Ovis aries: one gene and its partner. The protein of the gene in region 2 interacts with the protein of the main gene of each other region in a biochemical or structural test. Links are inferred from orthologs where the notes say so. Each region holds a gene or a part of one and is shown on either strand. Other genes may lie near its edges. The genes, in order: RAB7A and CHM.

Region 1 (3,817 bases), on a different chromosome or scaffold from region 2:
TAAGATTCTTTTCTACGAAGCATTACATAATAAATGGATACTGTAAAAAGATCTGATTAGTTAAAAGTAACAAGCATTAACAGATACATACAAAACTCAGCCTGATCAGACTGGGTGTGAGCCTGTGATGGAGCGCAGGGCACCAGCCTTCCCACGTGGTGGCCTTCACAGGAGGGGGTGGGTAAAAAGACCACAAGACGGTTAAAAAAATCAGAACTAATTAGACACAGATTAACTGTAAACAGTTCTCTCTCCAGTGGATGAAAGGAAGAAGCTTCCAGCGCAGACTCCACCCAGGCGGGTGTGCGCCTCCGGCCTTGCTGCTGCCGCGGAGCCCGCGGGGCGGGCGGTGGGTCTGTGGGGCGTGTGCGGGGGTCGGCGGTGTGCTGGGCTCTCCGGGCAGCTGGGCGAGAGATGACTGTCTGTGGGAGGAGGGGCTCGTGGAGGAAGGCCTGCACCTGTGTTCTCGGTCGCGGAGGGCTGTGTGCTCTGCTCTCTGCCTCTTCAGCAGCTGCAGCTCTCGGCCGAGGCCTTGGGGCGGTCGTTCTTGTCCAGTTTGATGGGCTCGGGGAACTCGTTGTACAGCTCCACTTCCGTTTCCTGGGCAGGGAGAGAGGCGGTGACCGCGGGCCCGGGGTGGCTGCAAGTCCTGCGGTGTAGGGGGGCGGGCCCCACAGCGGAGGGGCCAGGCGGGCACCGAGGGACGCTGCGGGGCAGGGGCAAGAGGGACAGGCTGGCGCCCTCCACCTGCACGTGCCCGCTCTGGGAGCTTCTGCCAGTGCCTGACAAGGACAGGGTCTGGGGCCCCAGCCTCACAGACCCCGCGAGCTCGCCCTGCGCGCCCCTCTCTGGACCCAGGTCTGTTGTCTCTTCCAGGCCTTCAGGAGAGCTTGCCCCCAAGGCTGCACATGCCAGGCCCGCCCAGGACAACTCCCTCAGTGTGGGGCCCACAGGACAGGGCCTGGGGTCACTTCACGGGGACTTGGGCTGAATTAGCGTTTCCAGCGAGGGGCAGCTCCCTGCTTCCTAGGGAAGAGAATTCACCTGTGCCTTAGACGCGGAGCACCCGCGGGTCGAGGCCCTCTGGGGAAACCACTCCGGTCACAAGTGCTGTGCAAGCGGCCACGCCCAGGACTGCCTGTAGTTTAAGGCGGTCTCGCTCCCTGAGGGCTGAGCGTGTGCCCCTGCAGCCTGGTCTGCTCACAGGCCCAAGCCATCAGGCCCTTCCCGGCCCCGGAGGCGAGCCGGCTCCAGCAGCAGCGGCCTGTCCCGCCTATTGCTCCAAGCCCTGACCAGCGCTCATCTGCGTTCTGTCTTAATGGAGGCCTCAGCGAGATCGGACCTGTGGCCCCGAAACCGACAGGAAATAAGTGTGTCCTTGAGCCACGCGGCCTGTGGGCACTGTCCAGGGCCCGGTGCTGGCTGACACAGTTAGAACCTCAGGAAGGTTTATTTTTTGTGGGGGTAGGTGGTGGGGAGAGGACGGAGGAGGAAAAAGTTGCACCTGGAGTGAAAGTCTTAGTTCAAATGGATAATGAACCAAACAGAGCCAAGAGAAAAGCCTCGACTAGCGAGGGGAGAGGCCGTGAGGTCAGGACGGCCGTGCAGGGAGCACGTGGGCTGCAGGCGGGGCCCGGCGCAAGGAGAGCGCGACACGGGGGAGCGGGCTCCACAGACGGAATACACACCCACCGGCAGGTTCTTCACTGTGGCCAGAGAGGCTGAGAAGAAGGCCCACCACACACAGCTCAGCCCCACCTCTGCGCACGGCCGAGGCCCGGGCAAGGGCTGCAGGGGCCCCTCTGCAGAGCATGGGCGCTGCGCCAGCGACGCCACCGCGGTGCCGGGACTGAGGGTCACCACTGTCCCCAGGGACAGCCAGGGGCCCCCTTACCAGTCGGACAGTCTTCCTCCTGCGACTCGAGCTCTAGGGGCAGGAGTGTTTAGGGAGGAAAGCACTGCCCTGCTGCTGTGGGGTCAGAGGAGCCCTCACCCGGCACCGGCCAACAGGATGCCGCTGGTATGTGGTGGGGAGGGGGACCATCTGAATAAACACCACAAAGAAAACGCAGGAGAACCTTACCTAAGGAAGATGACTCCTAGAACCTTTTGGGTTAACCTTTATGAGGATTGTTTAGGATAATTCCCAAAGTTGGTGCACCTCACTGAATCTTCACAAACGCCCTGAAAGCGGGCAATCTCATTGTACAGCTCAGACAGGATTTAAAAACCAGACTAGATCCCAAGACGGGCAGCAGAGCTGTGCCTCAAACTCAAGTGTATCTTGAAACAGGAGGAGCACGCCGAGCAGGGCGGCCCCACACGAGGTGGCCTCGATGTGTGCCCCCATGGAGCTGACTTACAGACGGCGGGACGGGGCCGCTCTCAAAGGCCCGCCACCACCTCTGGCTGCACAGGAAGCCCGTGGGGAGAGAAGGTGCGGGCCAAGGCGGCCAGGCCAGGGCTCCGTCCCCGGACACCCACCTGCTTGAGCGCGTTCCGGGCGATCGTCTGGAAGGCCTGCTCCACGTTGATGGCCTCCTTGGCGCTGGTCTCAAAGTAGGGGATGTTGTTTTTGCTGTAGCACCAGGCCTGAGCCCGCTTGGTGGCCACCTGAAGGGGAGGCAGGGTGCAGGTGCCAGGAAGAGCAGGCATCCCAGCGGAAGAACCCCCAGGACCCCCGCCGGCCACCGCCCACCAGCCCCTCGCCAGCTAAGCTCAGTACAGTGGGGCTTTCCCCTCTCAGCCTCCGACCCCGAGCTGCACCTGGAGGCAGCTTGTGAAGGGCGGCGGCAGCCAGCTCGGGAGGAAGTGCCTCCCCTCCGGCCCAGGACAGGTCTCCAGCCCCTCCTGTGACCGCTCAGCACACCTGCCTGGACCCCTGGCCTGATCACACACCCAGGCCCCAGAGCCCCCAACCCAGCCACATCCTGTTTCCTGACTCCCCACCCGAGCCTGTTTTCAGGAACAAGAGAAGAACCAATTCACTTAGGAAAGAGCTGACTGGTCAAAAATAAACTCAGCTATGAGTGAGTGAATGAAGTCTGGTCAGTTGTGTCTGACTCTGCAATCCCATAGGCTGTAGCCTACCAGGCTCCTCCGTCCATGGGATTTTCCAGGCAAGAGTACTGGAGTGGGCTGCCATTTCCTTCTCCAGAGGACCTTCCCGACCCAGGGATTGAACCCGGGTCTCCCGCATTGTAAGCAGACGCTTTACCGTCTGAGCCACCAGGAAAACTCGGCTATGCTTGACGACATCTCTGTCTACACCGACATCTCTGTCTACACTCCCCAGAGATGCTACTGGAAAGGAAGCCAGAGCAGTTTTACTCAAAAGCCCAAAGCACCTCCCGCCCCGCGGGATCTGGGGGGGCCCCGCTGCGGGAGGACGACAGCTGATGGCAACCGAACCCTCCCCCAGGGTCAGAAGCAGAGGCGCCCACAAGCCCGAGTCACGGCTGTGCGGGTGGTGTGGGGGTCTCAGAGGGCCTCCTGGGCCCCAGTCCCCAGGGGCAGCCGGCCTGAAGATGGCGCCCCTGTGCACCCCCAGAGCCACGAGGTGCTCAGCACAGACCCTCCGTGTGCACAGGGTACCTCAGAACAGGCGGCCCAGGCGAGAGAGCAGGGCGCTGGGCAGGCCCTCTGGGGCCCCACGGCCAGGAGACCGAGGTCCCACGGGGCCCAGAGGTCAAGCCTGGACTGGAGCCAGGAGGGCTGGCAGGGGGCCACTCCACGGGGCGCTCCGACCCCGCACACCCACCCTGCTCTGCTCCCAGGGAGCCGGGCCCCACCCAAGGGTGGCCAGGGGCCCCCTTGT
Region 2 (3,817 bases):
TTTCTTTATAACATGGAACTTCAAGAGAGCACATGAAATAAAAAAATCCTAGTCTGATATTATTCACTACCCTCTCCAACTTCTTTGCAATTTCTCATCATTTGCCCTCAACTTATGGTATTTGGTCTCTCTACTTTCACCCAGCCCTATATTATAACATTTTATAGCCACTATTTTATCTTACTAGTGTTTTCTATTCTTTTGCACTAAATTTGTCTTGCTTCCTATAAATCCAGTGCAACACTGCATGCTCCAAAGACTTGGGGACCACCTCTGAATTCATGTTGACTAACATTAGAGGTAAGAATGGGAATAAAAAAAAAAAAAAAAACTGAAGACAGTTGCATCCTTCCTAACCTCCCTGCCCAAATTACTATTAAATTATCTTCCAAAGCCCTCACATCTGAACCAATTATTTTTGAAATGTATCGGTTTATTCAAAATGTTCATCATTATACAGATGTCAAAATAGTTACTATATAAATAAGGGCTAAAAAGAAGTTTATTTAATAGATTGACTATAATAACATGGACCCATAATTAGATTCATTAGACATGTTTTCTTGATAGAATTCAAAGTGTCCATGTAGTAGGAGAATATTTGGGTGGAGTACATGCTCCAATACAGAAGTAACCGTGTGATACAGTACTGAGCATTGTTGTGTTTTTAACTTAGGTCTAAGGAATATTTTAATAGAACTATAAATTACAGATACTATCTCTTTATAAAATAAACACTCTACATTTCAAAGAATAAAATAATGAAAATTGGGTTTATGGACTCAGATGCTATATTCAATCAATTAGAAATTAGTACAGTTCCATGATAAGATGGGTAAAACTGTTACTTACCTTTGATACCAAATCGATATTAAACCTCCTGCCTTCTTTAATGATTTGAGAGTAAGTAATCCGATTTTTCTTTGGCTGTTCTGCTGTGTCTTCGGCCACAGGCACATTTTCACTTGTTTCCTTTTCTGCAGTTGAGGGCACACAAGTGTTATCATCACAATGGTTTTCTTTTTCCCCTGTCACTTGAACATCATTTACTTCTAGGGCTCTATCTGGATCACTGCTTGGAGTTTGTTCTGCCGGTATTTCACAGCTTGTAGTTCTTAATGACTCATCTTCTATAGGCAGGCAGGCAGAATCTGCAGCTTCAGTGCAGTTCACAGATGTCACAGAAGCGTGATTTTTCTGTAGTGCACCAGCTTCTTCCACATCTTCATGCAAATCCTGACTGATGAGAAATTATAATAATAATCCACACCAATAATCAAAGTGATAATTATACGTGGGTACATTTTTATATGTATCAATTTAACTTTTAATGGCAATTTTTATTTCTTTACCTCATTTATTTTATCAGATTCAGTGGATGTCTTGCTTTATGTGACATACACATTAAACATTCATCTGTTTAGGTTTTAAAACAATATGAAACATAATTAACGTCTGAAAAAATATACATAAAGATTTCAGGGTTTAGCAGGCATGTCGTGTGTGTGTGTGTGTGTGTGTGTGTGTGTGTATATCTGAAAAGCAGATTTTTATCTTTATAATTTATTTCTGTTTGTCTTGGGGTATCGTTGATTTACAATATTGTATCAATTTCAGGTGTACAACAAAGTGATTCAGTTATACATGTACATATATTCATTTCTTCAGATATTTTCTCCATATTACAGAATACTGAGTGCTATACAGTATGCATGTATATATTAATCACGTGTATTTTTTAAGAAGTTAAGGCAGACAGAGGAATTGCACTTTAGAAACAAATCAACACAGTGCTTACAAGCTCATCCTTCAGAATAAATAGATTGAGGTTCAAACCCAGACTCTATGACTAGATAACTCTGTGAATGTAGACAAGTTTTTTAATCCTCTCTGATGCAAATTATCCATCTATAACATAAAGATAATACCAACTACCTCACCAGGTTGTTCTGAAGACTAAATGAGGTAACACAAGTGAAGAATCTGGTACAGAGCCTGGCACATAAATGCTCAACAGTAAGTATCAAAGATTATTACCATTATATGAGGTGTGACAAAGCTAAAAAGCTGCTATAAAAGTGTACATTGACATATCACAATGTGGTATCTAACAGGATCTTTCTGAACTGATTCTCGCTGTTTTCAATATTAATGTCTATTACTTTATTGGAAGCCCCACTTTCAATATTACCACTAGACTTCACATTCTCAGTCCATTACTGCCTTGATCGACACAAAAAGTTCCTGTTCAGCATGCACCATTATCTCTCCATGATGTGTTTTATCCTCTACAGATCCTTCCTTTTCATTGAGTTGCGCTACTATTCAACACTAAAATTACCTCATACATGATAGGCTGTGGGAAATAACCATCTGCTAATTGATTGCTTGAGACCTAAGAGCAGTTCTTAAATCAAATCTCAACTCTACCCCTATAAAATCTTCCTCTATCAGTCTCTAAACAAAATCACCTTTTTTATTTACTAACTTTTGTCTCATCTCACCTACTTTCCAACATGGCATCTCTTAAATCATAATTTGTCAACTCAAAGTCTCCATAATTAGGCTCATGTTAACTGTTTCTTCAAGATTGCAGGGAGAAATATCAATAATCTCCAGTATGCAGATGACACCACCCTTATGGCAGAAACTGAAGAGGAACTAAACAGCCTCTTGATCAAAGTGAAAGAGGAGAGTAAAAAAAGCTGGCTTAAACTCAACATTCAAAAAACGAAGATCATGGCATCTGGTCCCATCACTTCATGGCAAATAGATGGGGAAACAATGGAAACAGCAAAAGACTATTTTCTTGTGCTCAAAAATCACTGCAAATGGTGACTTCAGCCATGAAATTAAGACACTTGCTCCTTGGAAGAGGAGCTATGACCAACCTAGACAGCATATTAAAAAGCAGAGACATTCCTTTGCCAACAAAGGTCCATCTAGACAAAGCTATGGTTTTTCCAGTAGTCACATATGGATGTGAGAGTTGGACCACAGAGAAGACTCAATGCCAAAAAATTGATGCTTTTGAACGGTGGTGTTGGAGAAGTCTTGAGAGTCCCTTGCACTGTAAAGAGATCAAACTTGTCAATCCTAAAGGAAATCAATCCTGAATATTCATTGGAAGGACTGATGCTGAGGCTGAAGCTCCAATACTTTCACCATCTGATGTGGAGAACTGACACAGTGGGAACAACCTTATCCTGGGAAAGACTGAAGGCAGGAGGAGAAGGGGACGACAGAGGATGAGATGGTAACAATAACCCTATAGCAAGACAGCAAAATAGACACAGATGTATAGAACAGTCTTTTGGACTCTGTGGGAGAGGGCGAGGGTGGGATGATTTGGTGGAATAGCGCTGAAACATGTATATTATCATATGTAAAATGGATCACCAGTCCAGGTTTGATGGATGATACAGGGTGCTTGGGGCTGGTGCACCATTATGACCCAGAGGGATGGGATGGGGAGGCAGGTGGGAGGGGGATTCAGCCACATGTACACCCGTGGCGGATTCATGTAAATGTATGGCAAAACCAACACAGTATTGTAAAGTAACAAAAAAATAAAAATAAAAAATAAAAAAAGAAAGAAAATACCATGCTACTTGTTATAATCTAGTAATTTCAATTAAATATAATGAAAAAAGGATGATATCATTAATGTCAAGATTTTCAGATTTAGGAAACTATAGTGGGTAAAGTTGTAGTTCTGGATGCATTACTTAGTAGATATTAGGTAAGTCATTTAATCCCTGAGATTTCCCATCTATGAAATGGAAGATCATTCATTTACCTTAACTTTCATGAGGCT

What was found.
Region 1: the proteins of CHM (region 2) and RAB7A are reported together in a solved structure, tested with the Homo sapiens proteins (2 studies listed by BioGRID, with this or other methods). The link is inferred for Ovis aries from reciprocal best matches to the Homo sapiens genes CHM and RAB7A.

The regions. Positions count from the first base shown.
Region 1 is NC_056072.1:59,079,653-59,083,469, forward strand, and holds the end of RAB7A (ras-related protein Rab-7a), read right to left. Parts: intron 2,614-3,817; coding exon 2,485-2,613; intron 601-2,484; coding exon 505-600; downstream 1-504.
Region 2 is NC_056080.1:77,545,517-77,549,333, forward strand, and holds part of CHM (rab proteins geranylgeranyltransferase component A 1), read right to left. Parts: intron 1,241-3,817; coding exon 853-1,240; intron 1-852. UniProt on the Homo sapiens protein: Substrate-binding subunit of the Rab geranylgeranyltransferase (GGTase) complex.